Canis lupus familiaris: one gene and its partners. The protein of the gene in region 3 interacts with the protein of the main gene of each other region in a pairwise test. Links are inferred from orthologs where the notes say so. Each region holds a gene or a part of one and is shown on either strand. Other genes may lie near its edges.

The links.
Region 1: the proteins of ZYX (region 3) and TUFT1 interact in binary tests that used the Homo sapiens proteins (3 or more experiments, as listed by UniProt). The link is inferred for Canis lupus familiaris from reciprocal best matches to the Homo sapiens genes ZYX and TUFT1.
Region 2: the proteins of ZYX (region 3) and NEBL interact in a two-hybrid assay, tested with the Homo sapiens proteins (2 studies listed by BioGRID and IntAct). The link is inferred for Canis lupus familiaris from reciprocal best matches to the Homo sapiens genes ZYX and NEBL.
Region 4: the proteins of ZYX (region 3) and VASP interact in binary tests that used the Homo sapiens proteins (3 or more experiments, as listed by UniProt). The link is inferred for Canis lupus familiaris from reciprocal best matches to the Homo sapiens genes ZYX and VASP.
Region 5: the proteins of ZYX (region 3) and CASS4 interact in binary tests that used the Homo sapiens proteins (3 or more experiments, as listed by UniProt). The link is inferred for Canis lupus familiaris from reciprocal best matches to the Homo sapiens genes ZYX and CASS4.
Region 6: the proteins of ZYX (region 3) and IMP3 interact in binary tests that used the Homo sapiens proteins (3 or more experiments, as listed by UniProt). The link is inferred for Canis lupus familiaris from reciprocal best matches to the Homo sapiens genes ZYX and IMP3.

What each region holds. Positions count from the first base shown.
Region 1 is NC_049238.1:61,269,569-61,273,399, forward strand, and holds part of TUFT1 (tuftelin), read left to right. Parts: intron 1-1,185; coding exon 1,186-1,254; intron 1,255-2,036; coding exon 2,037-2,126; intron 2,127-3,831. UniProt on the Homo sapiens protein: Involved in the structural organization of the epidermis. Involved in the mineralization and structural organization of enamel.
Region 2 is NC_049223.1:9,942,530-9,946,988, forward strand, and holds the start of NEBL (nebulette), read left to right. Parts: upstream 1-1,516; 5' UTR 1,517-1,901; coding exon 1,902-1,982; intron 1,983-2,073; coding exon 2,074-2,145; intron 2,146-4,459. UniProt on the Homo sapiens protein: Binds to actin and plays an important role in the assembly of the Z-disk. May functionally link sarcomeric actin to the desmin intermediate filaments in the heart muscle sarcomeres.
Region 3 is NC_049237.1:6,031,542-6,035,179, reverse strand, and holds the end of ZYX (zyxin), read left to right. Parts: intron 1-228; coding exon 229-349; intron 350-463; coding exon 464-633; intron 634-734; coding exon 735-913; intron 914-1,797; coding exon 1,798-1,918; intron 1,919-2,501; coding exon 2,502-2,606; 3' UTR 2,607-3,085; downstream 3,086-3,638. UniProt on the Homo sapiens protein: Adhesion plaque protein. Binds alpha-actinin and the CRP protein. Important for targeting TES and ENA/VASP family members to focal adhesions and for the formation of actin-rich structures.
Region 4 is NC_049222.1:110,761,512-110,765,049, reverse strand, and holds the end of VASP (vasodilator-stimulated phosphoprotein), read left to right. Parts: intron 1-585; coding exon 586-637; intron 638-791; coding exon 792-831; intron 832-1,031; coding exon 1,032-1,077; intron 1,078-1,232; coding exon 1,233-1,323; intron 1,324-1,978; coding exon 1,979-2,036; intron 2,037-2,162; coding exon 2,163-2,200; 3' UTR 2,201-3,010; downstream 3,011-3,538. UniProt on the Homo sapiens protein: Ena/VASP proteins are actin-associated proteins involved in a range of processes dependent on cytoskeleton remodeling and cell polarity such as axon guidance, lamellipodial and filopodial dynamics, platelet activation and cell migration.
Region 5 is NC_049245.1:42,397,094-42,400,924, reverse strand, and holds part of CASS4 (cas scaffolding protein family member 4), read right to left. Parts: intron 2,369-3,831; coding exon 2,288-2,368; intron 1,383-2,287; coding exon 75-1,382; intron 1-74. UniProt on the Homo sapiens protein: Docking protein that plays a role in tyrosine kinase-based signaling related to cell adhesion and cell spreading. Regulates PTK2/FAK1 activity, focal adhesion integrity, and cell spreading.
Region 6 is NC_049251.1:38,869,606-38,872,519, reverse strand, and holds IMP3 (U3 small nucleolar ribonucleoprotein protein IMP3), read left to right. Parts: upstream 1-1,275; 5' UTR 1,276-1,356; coding exon 1,357-1,911; 3' UTR 1,912-2,144; downstream 2,145-2,914. UniProt on the Homo sapiens protein: Component of the 60-80S U3 small nucleolar ribonucleoprotein (U3 snoRNP). Required for the early cleavages during pre-18S ribosomal RNA processing. Part of the small subunit (SSU) processome, first precursor of the small eukaryotic ribosomal subunit.

The DNA of each region.
Region 1 (3,831 bases), on a different chromosome or scaffold from region 3:
ATGCCTTTAATTAATTTCTTTTTCTTATTCAAAGTCATTGCATGGCCCTTAAAGAAAGCAAAACTACCCCATAATTCTACTGATGTAATCATTATTACTACTTTATTGGGTATCCTCTCAGATATTTTTATATTTGTCTGTATTTTTTCAAAAATTAAATTGTTTTATATACTATTATATACACTGTATTCTACAATTTGCTCGCTCCCCCCCCCCCACCAAACACTTTAATGATTTAATGTAGGTTTATAACATCTTCTGTGTCTATAAATGTAAGTGTCTGGTATTCTTTTTTTTTTTTTTAAGATTTTATTTATTTATTCATGAGCGACACAGAGAGAGAGAGAGAGAGAGGCAGAGACACAGGCAGAGGGAGAAGCAGGATCCATGCAGGGAGCCCGATGTGGGACTCGATCCCGGGTCTCCAGGATCATACCCTGGGCTGAAGGTGGTGCTAACCCACTGAGCCACCCGGGCTGCCCAGTGTCTGGTATTCTAATGGCTGCATAGTATTCTATTATGATGTACCACAATTTAAATAATCCCCCATTGTGGGCCATTGTGCCTATTTCCATTTCTGCAATCATAAACAGTATTTTGCTGAACATATGTTACTAAATTGCGTATGTGTTTTATAATACAGGTATTAAATATTTTCTTAATTGTAAAAGATTCAAGAATGTATAGAGAAAAATGTGTAAACCTTTTTACAACCTCCTTTGTACAAATTTACGTATATATGTGAGTGTTCGTTTATGCCAGTTTGGCTATGCCAGTTTATCTCATTAGGATAAATTTCCAGAAGTAGGTTTGATAGGTCAAAGAGTAATTACAGCTCTAAGCTTCCTGATTTGAATCATCAAATTGCCACGCAGAAAGGCAGTAACAATTTACCTTCCCACCAGTAGTGTAGGAGCCTGCCCATGAGGAATTAACCTCCCAGGAGGTCCTTTTTTTTTCTTTTTTTAAAGATTTTATTTATTCATAAGAGACTCAGAGAGGGAGGCAGAGACATAGGTAGAGGGAGAGGCAGGCTCCCAGCAGGGAGCCTTATGCGGGACTGATCCCAGGCCTCCCCGCCTCCAGATCATGACCTGAGCCAAATGCAGATGCTCAATCACTGAGCCACCCAGGTGCCCTCCCAAGAGTTTCCTTAACTAAAGAGTCTTGTTTCCCTTATTGCAGGTGTACCTGAAGGGGAGGCCTGGAGATAAGATAGTTCACGAGAAGAATGTCAACCAACTGAAGAGTGAGGTACAGTATATCCAGGAGGTGGGGACCCCTCCCTTGTGGGAACCTCTCAGTTTTTTGGCTCCCATCTTTTTTTTTTTTTTTTTGTATTTATTTATTTGAGAGAGAGAGTACCATTGGTGGGGATGGTGAGAGAAGCATATGGGAGAGGGGAGGAAGAAGTAGACTCCCCATTTGAACAGGGAGTGCAATGCAGGACTCTATTCCAGAACCCTGGGATCATGACCTGAGCAGAAGGCAGACACTTAACAGAATGAGCCACCAAGGCACCCTGGCCTTGTGGGATCTGGTTCTCTCCCATCAGCTTCCTTCATACCGAAACCACCACCATGCCGCCCCCTTGAGTCAAGTATCATTTGTGACCCTTCCATTAATCAACAAATATTTAACTACTATGTGCCTAGCACTGTACCCTAGCCATCCTCTCTAAACTGCCAACCTCTTTTCCTGACCCTCACCATGACTCCTATTGGCACCTGGGCACCTGTCATCATGTACCATATTACATGTTTGTTTCACTCATTTGCTTTTTGTGTCTCTGCAACAAGAATGTTGCCTCCAGCAGCACAGGGTTTTGATTTCCTTCGTGTAGGCTTTGTTTCCTGTTTGTGTAGGAGGGACTGTGCTGCAGCCCCATTTGCCTGGGGTCCCTCCTTCCCCCAGCCAGTGCTAAGGCCAGTACCTGGCTCACAGGAGTATGGGTCAGGGACAGGCCATAGTGGGTGAGTTGGTACGTGCTCTCTTTCCTTATCCCAAAGCTAAAGCTTCTTGCCCTCCTCTCCCAGGCCCAGAATTGCCTGCAGAAGCTCCAGGAGGACATAAGTAGCAAGCTTGACAGAGATCTAGGAGCTTCTCTCCATGGACAGGAACTACAGGTAATAGGAAATGGTCAATGGTTGGGTCCACAAGGAAGAGGCTGTGCTGGGCAGTCCCATTTGCTGGTCACACAGCAGATGCCGAATCTCACATCACTGCCAGGAAAGGAGAGAACACAGGCAATGTTGGCTTCTCAGAGCACTCACAACCTTACTAATGCTCTCCAGTTGATGGGCACCTGTGTTTACACGTATCAGCCTCTGTATAAGTATACCTGTTTTGAAAACAGTGTATAAAAATGGAATTTATGTAAATAAAATTCCATTAAGTTATTGGCAAAACCGGGATCCCTGGGTGGCGCAGCGGTTTGGCGCCTGCCTTTGGCCCAGGGCGCGATCCTGGAGACCCAGGATCGAATCCCACGTCAGGCTCCCGGTGCATGGAGCCTGCTTCTCCCTCTGCCTGTGTCTCTGCCTCTCTCTCTCTCTCTCTGTGACTATCATAAATAAATAAAATTAAAAAAAAAAAAAAAGTTATTGGCAAAACCTCTTCTATTTGAGGATTATGGGATCAATGTTTTTGCAATCCAGAGTCTTATAAAGCAAACAATTACCTATAAATGCAAACTTCTCATAAGTCAATCCTGCTTAATTGGGGTGACACCTGTGGTGTGAATTGAAATTTTGTCTGTTTGTGTGCATAGCTGTCTCTATCTGGCACCAGAAGCTCCTCAAGGTAGGGTTCACCTCCACTGCTGTCTCTGTATCCCCACACTTGGCACAGGACATAGGATGCAGAAGGTCATCAGTAAATGTCATATTGAACTTGTTGAAGGGTCTTTTTGAGATGGATGGATGATTCTGGGATACTGTATTTCAGTTTTTCTAAAATTGGAGGCTAGAAGTGCCCTTAGGAGAACAGAACCATCTCTTCTGTTTGACCCTCATCCTTCTTTAGATTCTGAGTTATATCTCCTTCCTCTGCATTTGATTTGGGGAGTTGGGGAGTCTCTCTCCAGGAGCCCCCACCCTCATCCTCCTGAGCGAAACGATGACTGTACAGCTGGTGGCAGCAAGGCTCCTCCTTGGTGTGAGCATGCCTGTGGCTTATGTGGTCATGCCCCCTACTTCATTCTGCTGTGATCCAAGGTAGGGCTTTCATGGCTATGCTCACATCTGGCTGATGGGAAATGCCTTCTCAAGTGACCAGACAACCTGATATGCTCTGAGACTGGCCCAGAAGTCCGGGGCCCTTGTTTGCACAGACCAGCAGTCATTTCATCACATCAAGCTATGGGCTATAAAGGATTGCTGCAAAGGCCACTTCACCTTTTGCTTTTTGCTTCATCAAACCCCAGGATCTCTGAGAGGGAAGGGAGACTCTTTGTTGGTGGCAGGCAGCCTGCATGATCTCCAGTCTGTAGAAAGGTTTTAGGCCGAGGTTCCCTTCATCCTCCCTACAAAGCCGGAGTATTCCCTTTTAAGGCCACACACATGCTTCTCCACTCCCTCCCCTCTCGATTTTCCAGAGCACTCAAAGTCTTTTTTCCCCTTCTGGCCTTTCTTCCTTCCTGCCATCCTTTATTCCTTTTCTTCTTTCTTCTTCTTTCTTCCTTATTCCTTCCTCTTTTCCTCCTTTACTTCCCCTTCCTCTATCTTCTTCTACTTCTTTCTTTCTCTTCCTTTTTCTTTTTTTTTTCTCTTTTCTTTTTTCTTTCTTCTTTTCTCTTTTCTTTTCTTTTCTTTTCTTTTCTTTTCTTTTCTT
Region 2 (4,459 bases), on a different chromosome or scaffold from region 3:
ACAAATATAACATACAGAGAATTTCCTTGTAGAGTTCTCTACACAGCTATGTTTAAAATAACATAGTTGTTATTTTAAAAGTAAAGGTTTCCAAGTTCCGCAGCCTTGGGGGACTTCTTTTTGGCATTTTGCTAGTAAGCAGAATATGGGATGCCATTAAGTTAGCCTGAATCATTTCATGAAAAGACCGACAACTGTTTTAGAATACAACAGTTTTTCAGAGTAGGATAATATTTCCCTAAGTAATAATTCACAGAAGAATGTTAATTTTCTGGAGCATTGGATATCATTAAAAAATGGTAGGAAGGTAAATAGGTAGATTAGATCAGACTAAGTGAATAGGATTTCATGTTTCAGAAATGTTGGATTAAGAAAACCTAAATAGTTTTCTCGGTTGTGAGTCTTCTTGGAGCTTCTGATTTGTCATTAGGTGGTGTGGATCTCTAAGTGATAGGAGTTGAGATGAACATACAGGCTTTTCCAAATACATTTTGCTTAAGAAACCCCCTTTCCTCTCTAGAGTATTCTGTGGAACTGTAGCCTCATGGAAAACAATTTGAGGAATAATCTATAAATAAGATTGTTTAGAATATTTTTTGGTCAGATTTTTAGTTTAGGCAAGGCTGAAACAATTAGGAAGAAAATTTAAAACTAGATATGATATCAAGAGAAAGTTGCATTATTCTTGGCTACTTAGAATAATGTATTTGGAATAAAGTTGTATTTTATAATTAGTTTCATTGTTTACCATAGGGTATTTTTTTATGTCTCACACTGATATTATGATTTTGTGAAAATTAATTTACCCTAGGTTGGAGTAACCAAACTGGTATATTGTGAATTTTATAGAGCCTTATTATTGCCTAAATTGACAATTAAGGATTTTTTTGAGAAATGTATTTTTAATTATATAACTGATGACACATACTACATTATCAGTATAGTTATAATTTATTTTTCCAAGCATGTAGAGGAATATATGAAGAGTAAATATTTTATAGTATAAAACCCAGCAAACTTGTGTAAAAATTGACACAATGGGCAGAACTGGAAGAGCATGATTATTATTATTTTTTGAAACAATGATGTTTCTAGAATTCTTAAATGATATATCAACTTATGTTAACTGCAACTTCTTGTGTTTAATGATATTTACAATTAAAATAATACAATAGCAATATAAGGATTAATGGTCATAATTAACTCAGAATTGATTCTTTAAAGTGGTTCAAATGACTTTTCATAGTAAATTACTAGACTTTAATCAGCTAATTTAAAGTTAGTACTTTTTAGAATGTGGGAAGTATGTGTTTTTCTCATAAAAAATTTAACTTAGGTTAACGAAATGAGCTTGAATGATCTGGATTCACTATATAAAATCAGAGATATGTCTGATGTTCCAGCACAAACTTTATTTAGACGGAGTTGAGAAATCTTTGAGATAACAGGCTTTGGACTATGCTATCTTGAGTGTTGTAGCGGAGTCATTTTCCCACCATCTTTAAGTCTCCTTTAAACTGTGTTATGAATGAATTAAATTAGTGAAATATAAATACATGGTCTCTTTTGGATTTCTTACCCAGTTTAGAGAATGTTGACTTTAAAAGGTCACAAAATCGAATTTTGCCTGAGAGTGGTATTTCCACTTGGAGGCTAGCCCTGGCTGACCTCTGCAATCCTGTCCATCCACTCACACATAGTTGTGATAAGAGGGTGAAGTGTGAGCTAAATAGAGATGAGGCCTGGGCAAGGTCATTTCTGCCAGAACACCAGAGGCTCCAAGATCTCAAGGGTGCTATAGTACAGAGAAAGGTACTGTACTCGTGAAATTAAAAAAAAAAAAAAGAAAGAAAAGAAAAGAAAAGAAAAAAAGAAAAAAACCCTATCCATAAAGAGTAAAAATGAGGGTCCCTGTGTTTGAGGATGTAAAAGATGAAACTGAAGAGGGAAAAACAGAGGAAGAAGAAGATGAAGAAGACATGGTAAGTAGGAATGGGCCAGCTGAAGAAGGGTATTTGTTCCTCTAAGTTGATCACTGGAAAAAATGTTTCCTTTCCTTTCTTTTCTGGACAGATATTCTTTAAGCCTGTTATTGAAGACCTAAGGATGGAATTGGCCAGAAAATGCACCAGACTCATTAGTGATGTAAGTGGGCTTAAGTAATTTTTGTCTGATTTGTGCACTGTGTATGTGGCACTATCATGTCATAGAATCATCTAGTTGGGGAGAAAACCCTGCAGTCATCTGTTAAAACACAATTATTTTCCAGATCATGGAACTAAGTCCAGACACTTTCGTGGATTTCCTCAAGGTCACCAATACAGAGAATTTCTGTAGGAAGAGGTCTCCAAATTCTTAATCCAGAGTGCTATCCCTTATGAATTTCACTCTAGTGTAAAATCGTAAAACATTGAAATTTCAGAGTGCATTCCATGTGTGAACTGCAAAGCCTTTTAAAATTTGTTTGGTGGTGTAATTTGTTACGGGAGGATCTCTGTCTAAACCAATGGTTTTTAAAAAAAAAAAACATTTTGGGTTTTTTTTTGAGGACTGTGATGAATGCAGTAGTTTTTGAAACCAGGAAAAAAAATATGTGTGTGTGTGTGTGTATATATATATATATATATATATATATATATGTAAATATGTGTACATACATATATATACACACACACACATACATAACATGTATTGACAATTTTGGATTCATTAGTTACTGAACTACATAGTATGAACCCTGAACTAGATGATGATATTATTAGCAAAAAGGAGCATTTTTCTCCTGGTTTTTTCATTAACTGGGATCAATTTATATCATATCTCCAGGGAATCCTAGAATTGTGGAATTATGTGTGTGTTTGTATTTATATATATATGTATGTGTATATATATATGTATGTATATATATATATATATATTAGTAATTATGTACTGATAAACCAGTAAATAGGTAAACTAGAATTCTAGAAAGTTTTAGATACTCCTCATTAAAACAATTGTGAGAGAATTGCTGGTGCAGAGGAGAGATGACTCCTGAAAAGTGAATCAGGCCTGGGTCTGGAAAGAAGGGAACACAACACTGGCCATTGATTTAACAGTAAGGTTGGGGCAAGTTATATAACAGGACTGGCCTTGGTTCCTCTATTACAGTATCATTAAGTAATGGTAATGTATCCGAAAGGTTTGGTAAGTATCTTGCCTGGGTCACACGGTTAAGCAGTAGGGAGGATTGAAACAAAGCTCTCTCTCAGCCTTAGCCATTCTGCTGTGTTTGCTCTTATTGTAGATTTCCCTGCAAAGTTTATCTTAGCCTTACTATTATCGATTACACTAATATTGGTAATAGGAATGCTACCATTTAAAACCTGAAGTTTCATAACTCCAGAGATAGTACCTCTTCTAGTGCTATTATGTTTTTTATTAAAGGGTAATTGTGGATGAGCTAAATTATATAAACCGTTGGAACCAAAGTGGCAACTTCAGTGAGTAGATGATTTTGTTGGAGTTGTTTTGGATAAGGTCATTTTGCAGTGACTGTAAAACCAACCTTATGGTGAGAGGCGTGGCCTTTACCATTTGCAAAAGCCAAAGCCGTGTTATTTCTCTTCCATGTAGGAAAAATCAAATATGTGGGAGTCATTTCTGTTTTTTATAGATTTCTGCTGCATGGAATGTCTGTACTACTTAAATATTTAGATCGCAGACTGTGGCCTGATTTATATCTGTGTACATGTTCACTATTTGTTTCAAAATAGAATTCCATACTTTTTAAGATACTGGTTTAATTTTTGAAATTTGTATATTTACCAGTGAAGAGGCTGAACAAGTAATTATTTTGTTTCTAAAACAAAACTGAAAAGAGGAGTTTGTACAGTCATTTTATTTTAATTTTTATTTATTTTAATTTTTATTTATTTATGATAGTCACACAGAGAAAGAGAGAGAGGCAGAGACATAGGCAGAGGGAGAAGCAGGCTCCATGCACCAGGAGCCCGACGTGGGATTCGATCCCGGGTCTCCAGGATCGCGCCCTGGGCCAAAGGCAGGCGCTAAACCGCTACACCACCCAGGGTTCCCTGTACAGTCATTTTAAAAACAAATTTTAATTTACACTTTCTGGAAGGATTTTATGTAGTGGACCAAATGGAAGTTTTAGTTTTTAGAAGTTTGGTTGAAAAGGAAGGTATTTATTAAGTACTAACTGCTTTATTCACTGTCAGTGTCATCAGTTTTTTTATATGGAGCCCATGAATTTAACGGTTGAAGTTCTCATGGCAGTTATGTTGTCTGCATTGCCAGATGGTTGTCTAAAATGTGTATTGGAGTTGCATTGGTCACGGAGCTAAAACAGATACGAAAATGGACAAGTGGTCGCACAGAGTTAGTTTGGGAGTTCCAGTTGAGGTCCTCTCCTGCTACTGACAGTGCCCCTTGGTCAGTGCCCACATTTCATTTAGCC
Region 3 (3,638 bases):
TGGGGGGCGCGTTGGGCAAAGTGGGTGGAAGGGTCATCCCCTTCCCCTTTATCTGTGTGGTGCTGGGGGTCAGGGAGGGAGAAGGAGGAGCTTTTGGAGTCAAACCCGCGTGTCTGGGAGATGGGAGGGGAGTTCGTCCTTCCTGGAAGAGAGCGGATCAGCGGGCTGGGGAAAGTTCTCAGAGAGGGTGACTCTTGAGAGGGTCTGGAGAAAGTATTGGCGTTTCAGGTACGCTCCCCTGGGGCCCCGGGACCTCTGAGTCTGAAGGAGGTGCAGGAGCTGGAGCAGCTGACCCAGCAGCTAATGCACGACATGGAGCACCCTCAGAGGCAGAATGTGGCTGTCAATGGTGAGCTCACCGGCCACCTGTCGGGACCTCCACCTCACTCCCCGTCCGAGCCAGCCGACCGCCTGCCTGCGCGCTCCTTCCTCCCATTGACTTCTGTCTTCTCTGGCCTCCCAGAGTCCTGTGGCCGGTGTCATCAGCCCCTGGCACGCACACAGCCCGCGGTTCGAGCCCTGGGACAGCTGTTCCACATCACCTGCTTCACCTGCCACCAGTGTGGGCAGCAACTGCAAGGACAGCAGTTCTACAGCCTGGAGGGGGCGCCCTACTGTGAGGGCTGCTACACTGTGAGTCCGGGTGGGGGCTCAGCCCGGGGCTGGCCGTGGATGTGGGGCAGGCGGGCCTGGGGTGCCGGTTCCCGGCCGACGTCCTCCCGCCACCTCCTTAGGACACTCTGGAGAAGTGCAACACGTGTGGGCAGCCCATCACTGATCGCATGCTGAGGGCCACGGGCAAAGCCTACCACCCGCAGTGCTTCACGTGCGTGGTCTGCGCCTGCCCACTGGAGGGCACCTCCTTCATCGTGGACCAGGCCAACCGGCCCCACTGTGTACCTGACTACCACAAGTGAGGACCCACCTCCTGTCTTCTGGGCTCTTCTCTGGGTGCCAGCCGTCGTCGTCTGGGGGCTGGGCCAGGCTGCCCTCCTGATTCCACGGCAGCGCCAACCCCCTGGCCTTCCTTCCTGGCCCCACATGCTTGTCTGACGGCAGGAGACCAGTTCGCCTGGATTCAGCTGTCCAGTGGCCTCAGGCCTTGGTGGCAAGTCTTGCTACTGGCAGGTGCCCCCTCCCTGGGCCTTTGGCTCTCGGAGGCTTGTGGTCTTGTGTTCAGCCACGAGTGTTGGAATGACTTCATTTCACGCACAGGCTGGGTCCCGAAAGTCCTTTTGGAGATTGGCTTTTTGGAACTCTGGATTTCCCCTACAAGCAGTGGCTGCTTTCTCAGGCCAGCTGTAGAATCCCGTAATGTAGCTAAAGGGTGTACAGAAACTGCAGAGTCTGACTCCCACCTCTGCCAGTGTGTTGGAGGTATAGGTTTTCAGAATTCCAGCCTAGGCATCCAGAACTTCACATCCCTCCCTCTGTACACCCCAGCAGTGGGGCAGACGCCATGCAGCAGGGGGTCCTGGGCGGGGGTGGGGTGGGGCTGGAGAAGGGTGCCTCTGGCTGTGCTTTCTGCAGGAGCTGCAGTCAGAGGGTGAAGACCTGGTGGCAGAGGCTCCTGGGGGTACATGGGATTTTGGGGAGGGTGCTGGGGAAAGGCAGGAAATTCCCCTTGATAAAGGACGGATGAGGGGGCTGGTCTTAGGATTTCTCCATTGAGTGTCCTCTACCCAGGGATGTGAGGCAAATGGGCCAAGACACCTGCCCTGTTGCCATGCACATCCCCCTGCACTCTGGGAACCCCTTGCCCCCACCCTGACCCCTGCCTCGCTTTTGCCCCTCCAGGCAGTATGCCCCCAGGTGCTCCGTCTGCGAAGGGCCCATCATGCCTGAGCCCGGCCGCGAGGAGACCGTGCGAGTGGTCGCTCTGGACAAGAACTTCCACATGAAGTGCTACAAGTGCGAGGTTGGCCATCCCTCTGGCTCCCAGCGCTGGGAGGTGGTGGGACACCGCTCACTACCAGGTGGTGGCCGGTACCAGCCGGGAGGAGTTTGGAGCTGCAGTTTTGAGGGTGGAGGGGGTGATACCTGTGCCTGCTCCACCCAGATGCCCCCGTCACTGTGCAAGTTGGGGGGGAGGGCTTTCTGTGGGGTCCTTGGGTTGTGGATAAACCAAGAAAAAGAGTGACCAGTGGGAGGGAAGGGTGCTCTCCTTCGCTGTACTGGAGGGAGATGGAGATGTGCTTGGTGAGGTCAAAGAGGAAGAGAAGGGAGTAGAGGCAGGCGGGAGAGGTCCCATGTCTTTTTTTTGGGTGGGTGCCTTGGTAACAGCTCAACCCACTGTCCGCCTCGGGTGGGAGAGGCCTAGGGACAAGGAACATGGGCAGGAGAGGTGAGGCTAGGAGAGGAGGGTGGGAGTGGTGGGGACACAGGCAGTGATGCTGGACGTTGGCCGAGGCATGGAGCATCTGGTCTTCCTCACTTAAAGGTGGAGGTGTGGGGGGCACACAGGGGCCTTCCACCAGCGGGCTTTTCCTCCTTTCTCCCAGGACTGCGGGAAGCCACTGTCCATCGAGGCAGATGACAATGGCTGCTTCCCCCTGGACGGCCACGTGCTCTGCCGGAAGTGCCACACCGCCAGAGCCCAGACCTGAGTGGGGACGGGAGAGTCCACTCCCCACCCGCGGACCACCCACAGAGACCGCCCTGCCCCCCACCTGCCCTGCCCCCCCTTCAGTTATTTTCTGATGTCCAGCCTCTCCTTCCACGCCAGCCCCCACCCAGGTATCCCAGACACCTTGTCCCGGGCCCCAACGTGGCCTAGGACTGCAGAGTCCCAGCTCTGGGTTTCCAGCCCACCTCCATCCTGCAGGGACCACCCACCGTCCTCCAGGTGTACCCCACCTGAGGGGGCACCAGGTTGAGCGCTGCTGCTTTCACTGCTGCACCGATGCCCTCAGCTGGCCCCGGAGCAGCCACGTACTCTGCTTGCTGAGGGCCAGGAGACGCCCAGACTCTGGGAGGCTGGGCCAGGCCGGGCCGACCGGCCTGGACGTCCTCCCACCCCCACCCCCCATGCTGCCAGGTTGTGGCTACAGCTACAAATCAATAAAAAAAGACCTGTTTTCCAAAATCCTTAGGAGTCAACTCTTTTGTGCATATGGCCCTCATGGGTGGGGTAGAGGAAGTACAGGGAATACAAGAGCCAGGGGTAAAGGGGAAAACTCAGTTCCTGTTTATTTACAAAAATATATGTATGTATATGTATATATATTAAACCCTTCCCCAGGTCCCCCCCACGATTACATTTTCACTTCCACCCCTACCTCCCTTTTTAAAACAAAGGCTCCCGGGCCCAGAGGTGAGTTCCTCAGGGAAGGGTGGGCAGGAGCAGCACCAAAGGCCTACATAAGTAGGCTGAGGGGAGGGCCATGGGGAGTGACCATGGCCCCCGTCTTTGCCCCTTTGCCCCCACGACAGGGTGGGTGGGGGAGGGGCTCAGTCCTTGAATCCCTGAATACTGCAAAGAATGCGCTTCTGGTGTCCTGGCAGCGTGATCCCCATCTGGGCCAGGTCCCTGTGGGCAACGAAAGGGGATTGTTGAGTGTGGGCCTAACCCCCCCGCAGTTCTCCGTGCCCAGCACCCTCCCCTTCCCCTCCCCCCCCCCCAGGTCCTCACTCGGCCG
Region 4 (3,538 bases), on a different chromosome or scaffold from region 3:
TGGAGCCGCCAATGCCTTGGAAAGCTCTGGGAAGAAACCTCTCAGACCTGCAGTTAGCACCTGGAGATTCCAGTTCTGTAGGGCCAGGTTGGGGGAGGGCTCAGATTCCCATCTGGTTTGTTTCTTTGGGTGAAAGTTCCTTCTGTGATAGGCAGGTTTGGGATCGACAGTGCTGGAGATTACATTCTCCTGAGATGGCTGAGGTTTGGAATCACCTGGGGGTAGCCTCCAGAATGTTCTGAAACCCTGAATTCTAGAACCTGAGGAGGTCTCCCCTTAGAGGAGATCCTGCCTCGAAATCTTGGAAACTCAGATTCCTAGAATCCCAGCCATGTAAGATCGAGAATCCTCCACCCTTAGACTTTTGTGATTCCCAAATGTGAGAATCCTAACCCCCCCTCCCCCCACACACACACCCCAGTTGGAGAACAGCACTCTCTTTAACTTCTAAAACTCCAGTTTCCTTACCCTTTGAGGATTCCAGAACTCTACACCTTAGCATCCACCTTTCTAGAACTCTGGTAAGAATTACTGAGTGGCTGAGGGAGGGCTGAAGTCATCTGTTTTTGCCTGTCCCTCCTGCAGAAGGAAAGCCACACAAGTTGGGGAGAAACCCCCCAAGGATGAATCTGCCAATGTGAGTTAGGGGCTCTTCCTGCCAGGTGCACCTTAGGCTGTACCATTCGGGTAGGGATACTGGGGAGGGCCGGGGTGCGACAGGAACGGGGCGGGGTGACGCCAAGGCGAGGATCAGCCGGCGGTCTCATGGCAGTTTTATTTCCCACCAGCAGGAGGAGCCAGAGGCCAGAGTCCCAGTCCCAGCCCAGAGTGGTGAGTGGAGCCTGTCTAGCCTGTAGGGCCTCCGGATGCCCTGTTCTCAGGGGGAATGCCCCCTCCTGGGGGAGTCTGCAGGCCATGCTGCGGACTGTAGTCCCTTGAGACCCTTTGAACAGGAGCTGATGAGGCTGTGGGGAGACTGAGGCGGGGCCTTCCTTGTCCCTGATCTTCCTGATTTGTTGCCTGTCCTCCAGAAACTGTGCGGAGACCCTGGGAGAAGAACAGCACAACCTTGCCAAGGTGCGCCATCAGTGCTGGGTCCCTCCCCTCCCATAAATAGATGGATCTGTCACCTTTGTAGGAAGGGACACCAGGCGACCCTTGGAACGGGAAGCAGGGGAGGCCGACCCTTTCTCTAACCTCATTTCTGTCCCAAACCACACTGACTCTCCTAGGATGAAGTCCTCTTCATCCGTGACCACTTCCGAGGCCCACCCCTCCACGCCCAGCTCCAGTGACGAGTCAGACCTGGAGAGAGTGAAACAGGTAGCTTGGCGGGGGGTGGAGGGTGCGGGGTCGGGTGTTGGGAGGCCCCGGCTAGAAAGGGGCCACAGGTGGAAAGGAGATCTGGGGCCAAACTCCGCCATCCATCTGCCCTGTGATTCTGTGAAAAGGCCTCAGAAACCTCAGTTATTCAGCCTGAGAAATGGAGAGATTGAATCAGGTCAGGGATGACACACATACCACAGCCTCCTCTTCCAGCGCCAGTCACAGACCTTACTAATCTATCACTGCACTCATTCCTGATGAGCACCCAGAGTCCTTTCCAGCACACTAGCCCCAGACAGCACCAATCGGAATTGGCAGGAGACAGAAATATATTTGCCAGCCCTAATACTGGATGCTCTCCAGTCCTTTTCATCTGGCTCCAACGATCCAGAATTTTCCCTGAGAATTCTCCAGTCACTCTCTGGCCTTATCAATGATGTCACTGTGTGTGTGTGTCCCCGCGTGTGTGTTGGGGTGGGTAAGGGTCTTGAACCTTCTTCCTCTGGCCATTAAGAAAGGGGGGGGGGGGGGGCTTTCTCTTTAGAAAGGGGGGGAGTTATTTTAAAAGGGGACTTTCTCTTTAAAAAAGGGGAGCTTCATTTCTGCAAGTCCAGGGTGCCCTTCCTGATTGGTTGCACCCCATTATTTCCAGGAGCTTCTGGAAGAGGTGAGGAAGGAACTGCAGAAAGTAAAAGAAGAGATCATTGAAGGTGAGGTGGTTTTTGAATTTTAAACATTTGTTTTGGAGGCATCCCGTCTCCTGGAAAGGGCCCTGTTGTTGGAAGGGAAGGCGGAAGAGGCTCTGCCCATGACCCCTGCTCCTTGTTTCCTTCCAGCGTTTGTCCAGGAGCTGAGGAAGCGGGGTTCCCCCTGACCACAGGGCTCCAGAAGATCCTGTATCTCCTTTCTGCACACCCCGCCTGTCACCCTGCTTTCCCTGCCTCAACTCGACTTGGAATTGGCTAAAGACCACACAGGAATGCATCTCCCCCACTCCCTGTCCTACTTGGAAAATACCAAGGGGGTGTGGCTCCGTGGCCCCAGGGCCACACCCATACTGGCTGCTGATTGGCTGGGGAGGCCCCCACCCTTTGCTCCCTTTGGTCCTTCCCCTTCGCCATCCCCTTGGGGCTGGTTCCTCTGTTGGGGATTGGGGACCAAGTGACCCCACAGTAAGGGGGAAGGAAGGAGGGAATCTCACATTCCCTTGTTCTAGATTCACTTTAACGCTTAATGCCTTCGAATTTTTGTTTTTTTAAGGAAAAAAAAAAATATATATATATTTAGGTTTTGGGGGGAAGGGAAATTTTGTTTCTCTTTCGTTTTGATAAAACTGGGGTGTGGGGAGTTTTTAAATGCTATGCCCAGGGCTTGTCCCCTTTGGAGCAGCTATTTAAGGGGGAGGATGTCCCACCAGGCTGGGGGCACCTCCCCCACCCCCACCCCCACCCCAGGGAGCTCCCTTCCCTTTGGCTCCTTCCCCTTTTCTATGAGGAATTAAGATGCTATAACTTTTTGGAACCTCAGTTTTTTGGTTTTTTATTTGGGTAGGTTTTGGGGTCCCCCTGGGGAAATAAGATGAGGGAGAAAGGAAAGGGGGAGGAAACCTCCCCTCTCCCACCTTCACCTTTAGCTTCTTGAAAATGGGCCCCTACCGAATAAATCTGCCAGTTTTTTATAAATATGAAGATTTCTGGACTGATTCGGAGGGCTGCTCTGGTGAGGGTGGAGGTGTGTGTGTGCCCCTCCCGGCAGTGATCTGCCTTCCCCTCCTCTTTCTTCTTCCATCCTGTATCTGCTCCAGTTCCCACAGGCTCCGACAACCAATCTGCCACCCTGGAGAAAGCTAAGGACAGTCCCTCACAGTGTGGCATCAGGCAAGTCCTGTTGCTACTCCTGGGCCTCAGTTTCCCCATCTGGGAAATGGCTTGTGGGATGACTCTGACCCTTCCAGTGGGAATCCTCCCAGCTTCTCTGCTAATTCCAATGATCCTGTACCCATTTTGCAGATGTACGCCATGGTGCTCAGACACATTCTTAAAGATGACTTATTTACCCCAGAGCTCCTTTAATTATAAAATATTTACAGTCTTAAAAAAAAATAGAATTCAGAAATCACAGAGCTCATATACACCCCCTTCAGGGGTTCATTGGTTGGGTAGGGGGTTGGGGGGTAGATAACCCTGCCTGGTTGGAATATTCCATTTGGATG
Region 5 (3,831 bases), on a different chromosome or scaffold from region 3:
CTTAGCATCTAACTGATGGGTGACCACTCCAGATAAAATTTGAAAGCATCCTTATAACACCACGCTGAACTCACCGGTTCGCGGATAATTGTCCCGTTTTTCTTCAGTAGCTCTGGGGAGTGTACACTTTCCTTTTGTTTGTGAACAGGAACGCTGCTCTGATATGATTCAATCTCCCTTTGGGGAAGCTGGAGGCATTTTGCAAGCTTCAATGGTGCATGGGGGGTCATGGGCAAGGTATCTTCCTTCTCGCAGTTCTGCTTGAAAAGGAGCTTCCCATTGGCAATGACGATGGAGGCAAACCTCTTGATGTCTTCTGGAACCATCCGTGCCACCATGACAAAGCGCTCGAGGTCATCCGGGTTGTTTTGGACCTTGTCGGTCACAAGGACTTCCAGAGACCAGTTGCAGCTGTCCAGGCTTTCCTTTGTCCCGAGCAGGATCTGGTAGGAGTTGGAGATGGTCTGTAGCTGGTCCCGGATCCTGGCCTGCAGGGTGGTGTCGCTGAGGTTACAGGCGCTCCCCTGGACGCCGCGGGCGAACTCCAGGAATGCTCTCAGAGACTCCTCCACGCGGTGGGCAGCCGTGCGGATGGCGCCGAGGTTGGCCTCCAGGTAGTCTCGGAACCTCCACTTCCTGCTGACAAAGAGCATCAGGCCGGCGACCGAGCCGGCCACCTGCTGCTGAAGTGCCGCTACCGTCTCCCTGGCCAGGTCTGGGTCCAACGAGAGCTCCTTGCCTGAGTCCTCCGAGCAGGAGCTGGACGAGGAGTCCGTGGACGTGGATGAGCACGAGGACACAACGCTGGCTCTGCTGTCACAGCTGGAAACGGACAGCCTGTCGGGGTCCGGGGACAGCGATGGTGCCTGTCCTGAGGGCCACGCGGATTTGCAGTCCGTGTTCTCCGAAGGCCCGTTCACTGTCCCCAGCTCGGTCGCGGCCCGTCGGCCCCCGGCCACCACTTTCGGGGTGTCATAAATGTTTGGCTTGGTGTTCTGCTGTTCCACCCGGGGAATCAGAAAGCTCGAAGGGACCTTGTAGCCTGCACTCTCGTCCAAGGGGATCGTGTCCCTGGGAGCCAGAAATTTGTAGCAAGGAATTTCTGGAAGGCTGAGTTTTTTCTGCATGGGCACGTTTTTATGCAGGTGTGGATTGAGGGACCTTGCTCTGCTATTTGGAGGATTCTGGAAGCTGGACATATACCTGGGGGGAGTGTGGGGCTCTGATTCTTCCACAAAGCTGCCTAGAGATGCATTTCTGCCATCAGCTTTTTCTGGAGACACTGGCGTGTCATAGATCCATTCCGACTTCTGGGGGCTCGGCAACGTGCTGTAGCTGCCTTGCCTCGTGGCGATCGCCGACATCGCGGCAGCGCTCTGCCTCTGCGAAGAGCCCCACAAAGATGCCCAGGTCAGCAGCAATAAAAAGAGGGTTCGAGCGACTCGTCTGACAAATGTGCATTACGCTGAGGACCTACTAAGTGCTGGGTTGCGTGCTTCTTACAAATCTGATGGTCACTCCCCCACTCAAGTGTCTTCAGCAGCTCCCCATTGCCATCATCGCTCAAGGCCCTTCATAATCTGGTTGTATCCGCCTTTAAGCCTCCCCACCACACCTGCCACCAGCCTCCCTGTGGGCTCAGTCACCCTGGCTGTTCACCATCCCCTGAACTCCAAATGCTCACTTAGCCCATTATAGTTCATTTTGCCCAAACCAGTCCTTCTGTTCTACCTGCCCTCCCGACCCCTTCCTTTCCCTCTAACAAACCTCTATGCATCCCTCACGATGCTGCAGAGATGCCATCACTTTCTAAAGGCCTTCCCCAATGACCTTGGGCATAGGTATATGTATTTTTAAATGCATTCGATAATGAACATGGATTCCAGATTTTCAAATTAAGACATGTCCTCTATAAACAGATAAAAACCCATTTTAACACAACCCATCTCTGGGGTGTGTGGAAGGCGAGGAAGAAGAAGCATTTACCTAAGATCTACTGAGCTTTTGCTCTGTGCCAAGCACTGTATCTGTACTAGGTCCTCTGCAGGAATGATCTCAGTCCTCACAATTAGTTTGTTATAAGAAACTGAGGCACGGAGAAGGTAAGAGGACTTGCCCAAAGCACATTGCTCGCCCTGTTCCTGAACACCACGGCCAGCAGGGGGTTCAAAGGAAATAAGCTCTGTTATGAGGAATTTGCATTCCCAGTTTTGGCCATGTTAATAAAACATCCTGGAGGATGCTCACATTTTCCTAGTATCGAATCTCTGGGCCTCATCATACTTACACCTGGTGGGCTGGTCATGGAGCCAAGTGCTGCCCTTTTGGGGCTGGCGGGTATATCATATAACTGCTGCTTCTCTGGCTCCTGGGGAAAGATGGAAAAGGATAACTTGGAGTTTTCCTTCCTGATGGATACACATCACAAACTACCCACTGCAAGCGTTCTTTCCAAAAGAGAATACAGAACACCAAAGATTTGTGGGGCTCTCGGTCATGATGCTCACATGGTGGAAGTTTATGTGGTTGTTTTCAACAACAGACTTTGTGCTTTAAAAAGATACCTTCTTGGGATGCCTGGGTGGCTCAGTGGTTGAGCATCTGCCTTCGGCTCAGGTTGTGATCCTGGGGTCCTGGGACCGAGTCCCACATCGGGCTCCCTGTGGGGAGCCTGCTTCTCCCTCTGCCTCTTTCTCTCTCTGTCTCTCATAAATAAATAAATAAATAAAATCTTAAAAAAAAAAAAAAGAAGATGCCCTCTTGACGGAAGCTGGGGACAAACTATAGGGTGGCTCATTTGCATCTGTAGGTTAGCCTTAGCATGGACTTAAAAAGGAATACATGAAACTGTGACTTAATATGCTTCCATCTTTTTTGTTTGTTTTTCTCAGCAGAAATTTTCCTGGTGCTTGTAGGTTGTGTCATCATCCTGCAAATATTCACAGAATAACCACCAGGACACTGGGCCATATGACATATAGACACCCAGTAAGGAGCATAAGACATGGTTCTGGACAGATGATGTGCTTTTTTTTTTTTTTTTTGTACAGCAATTAGAAAATACATATATCAGGATGTGAAAAGTAGGTGCCGTGTTCCAAAGTGAGGGGAAAGAAAGTAGGAAACAGGGTTCTGCAAAGAAAGAGCTGGACTCTGGAGAGGGGGTTGCTTTGGAGAGAGCTGAAATGTGGGTTTCCTACCAACTCCTCCTCACTGGGGAAGGGTGGGGTGTACTTCATCCCCCTCAAGCAGAATGGAGAGTGCCCCAGCAGGACCTTCAGGGACGAATCATGCCACCTGAGCATAGTGTCCTAGTGCACAGGGGCCAACTCCAGCTCAGGGAAAGCTAAGGGTGGGAATCTGATGGCCAAGCACAGGGGGTGGCTGTGCTAGAGATGGCGTCTTCTCGGGTGGGGACCAGGGAGAAGGAAGAGAAGCAGCTGCCTTGGCCACAGCAGTTGAGAGAGCACCAAAATTCTCAATCATTAAGGTAAATAACAATGTGATGCAACATTAAAAAAAATCACAATTAATGCAAAAAAATCACGATGAACAAAACCTCACTATTTTCAATAAAGACAAGGGTGAGGGATCCCTGGGTGGCGCAGTGGTTTAGCGCCTGCCTTTGGCCCAGGGCGCGATCCTGGAGACCCGGGATCGAATCCCACGTCAGGCTCCCGGTGCATGGAGCCTGCTTCTCCCTCTGCCTGTGTCTCTGCCTCTCTCTCTCTCTCTCTCTGTGACTATCATAAATAAATAAAAATTAAAAAAATCTTTAAAAAAAAAAAAAAGACAAGGGTGAGAGGCCCAGGATGAGGGTGAGGTGAGTGA
Region 6 (2,914 bases), on a different chromosome or scaffold from region 3:
GTATCCTCATTATACTTTGTAACTTAACATGTATAACTTACACTGACATGTATCATTTCCCACATAGTAAGTATCGTACTTAAAAGGACAATGAAACTCCCGTACAAAACTAAAAATGATCAGCGAGGAAGCTAGATGGCGTCAAAGGCCCAGGCAAACAGACCGGTTTCGTGTATGTGACTTACAGACCGAAGGAGCCGAAGAGCGTTGAATGTATTCAGCTCGGTGCCGGGTGACCAGAAGTCCACCCGGTCGGGCTAATTCGAGTGAGCTCGGGGTGTGTACTTGAATCCAGGTGTCTCGGACCTGCTAGGTTCGATGAGTCACCTGGCACATCTGCTAATACAGCTTTCGGGGAGGCCTCTGTGAGGGCGAGGAAGCGGCCGGGCAGTCGGGGTTCCTGCAGGCTCGCCAGCGTCGGGCCCCCCTAGACCGGGCGGCGCCGGGAAGCTCCCAGCAGCTGGAGCACCGCGGCCACCGGGAGCACCGGGAGGACCGCGACCGCCGGGAGCATCGGGAGCATCGCGACGACCGGGAGGACTGCGAGCACCGGGAGCATCGCGGCCGCCGGGAGCATCGAAGCCACCGGGAGGACCGGGAGGACCGCGGCCGCCGGGAGCATCGCGGCCACCGGGAGCATCGCGGCCACCGGGAGGACCGCGACCGCCGGGAGCATCGCAGCCACCGCGAGCACGGGGAGGACCGGCGGCCGCCAGGAGCATCGAGGCCACCGGGAGGACCGGGAGGACCGCGGCCGCCGGGAGCATCAAGGCCACCGGGAGGACCGCGACCGCCGGGAGCATCGCGGCCACCGAGAGCACCGGGAGGACTGCGACCGCCGGGAGCACCGGAGGACCGTGACACCGGGAGCACCGCGACCGCCGGGAGCACCGAGAGCACCGGGAGCGCCGCGCAGCCCGCCGAACCAGCACAGCCGGCACCTGTCTCCGCCCGGCCTGACCTCAGCTTCCCGGAGCGGACTCACCTGGGAGACTCTAACAGGCATAAGTCTGAGTGGGACTGAACGACTGCTGCACTGGGGATACAGTCCTCGTGACTGAACACCACGAGGAGGTTTAAAACAACAACAAGAAAAAGGTCTAAAGGAAGAGCACCTGCCCGGGCCGCGGCCGCGCCAGCCGCCCCACCGCCAGCACCTCGGCCCTACTTCCGGCAACGCGGGAAGCAACGCGAGATAGTGACGTGGCTGGCGGGGGCGTGGCTCCGGCCTGACCAATGGGGGCGGAGGGCGTGGCCCGAGGCCGTCCTCTCATTGGGCCGGCCTGGGCGGAAGTCGCGCGGGCGCTCGGCGGCGCGGTCGAGGCGTCGGCTTTGGAGGCCCCGGGAGCCGCCATCATGGTGCGGAAGCTGAAGTTCCACGAGCAGAAGCTGCTGAAGCAGGTGGACTTCCTGAACTGGGAGGCCACCGACCACAACCTGCACGAGCTGCGCGTGCTGCGGCGGTACCGGCTGCAGCGGCGGGAGGACTACACGCGCTACAACCAGCTGAGCCGGGCGGTGCGCGAGCTGGCGCGGCGTCTGCGCGACCTCCCCGAGCGAGACCCGTTCCGCGTGCGCGCCTCGGCCGCGCTGCTGGACAAGCTGTACGCCCTCGGCCTGGTGCCCACGCGCGGCTCGCTCGCGCTCTGCGACTCGGTCACCGCCTCGGCCTTCTGCCGCCGCCGCCTGCCCACCGTGCTGCTGAAGCTGCGCATGGCGCAGCACCTCCAGGCCGCCGTGGCCTTCGTGGAGCAGGGCCACGTGCGCGTGGGCCCCGACGTGGTCACCGACCCCGCCTTCCTCGTCACGCGCAGCATGGAGGACTTCGTCACCTGGGTGGACTCGTCCCGGATCCGGCGCCACGTGCTGGAGTACAACGAGGAGCGCGACGACTTCGACCTGGAGGCCTAGCGCCGTCCCTCCCCGGGGCGCCGCCCGCCGACGCCTTCCCGTTGCTCGACCCCTTTTGATTCGAGTACTCGCTCTTGTTCGGGGTTAAGCGGCGCACGGACCCTGGAGAATTCGAGCTCGAGTTTGCACAGATGCGGGGCGAGGGCGGGCATGGGTTAGTGCGCTGTGCGCCCTCGCGCGCGGAGAGGAGCCGTCCCAATGCCAGTAAAGGGGCCAGCCGCTCGGAGCGTGCACCTTTGTGTCTGTCTGGCTTTCTCGTACGGGCTCACATCTGGGTTCACATCTGGGCTCCTGGGCTCGAGAACCCAGTAGGGAAGAGCGGAGTTAGCGACCTGCCCGTGAGCGAGGCCGGCCCCCGGGGTGGGGGGTGGGGGGTGGGGAGGGCGCCTGCGGAGGTTGCGGCAGATTCGTCAGGGCACTAATCCCTTGCTCGGAATGACTGTCTTGGCCGAGCTCTTCCCCACAGGACTTCCTGTGGATATTCCAGCCCCAGGAAGTAACCGTGTTAGAGGGCTGCAGTGTTTGCTCTTGGCTCGCCCAAGGAAATAATCACCCTGTAGCTTGGCCAGCTAGCGGTTAGAAGTGGCCCAGGGGGTTCCTGGAAGCATGTTCTTCGCGGTGGGGAACTGGAGAAGGGGGAGGTTACCTCTTTTTACCCAAGACTTAGACGAGGAGACTAAGTATAGAGTGCCAAGACTTATGCATTTGCTAGAGAAATACGGGAAGGGGACACTGGAGATGTTAATAGCAAATGCGTCTGCTGTGTGTCAGGCACAGTTGGAAGTGCGTTACATGGATTAATCTGTTTAATCCTCCCAACATGCTATGAAGTGGGGAATCCAATTATCCTCTACTTTTCAGATGAGGGAACTGAGGCAGAGATGGGTCAAACTGCCCCAAGATTGCATAGCCAATAAGTGGCGGAGCTGGCATCGGGCTCCCTTTAAGAGGCTGTCAACGCTGGCATATGTAGGGGTTTAGAGAGAATCCCTGAATTCGAGTT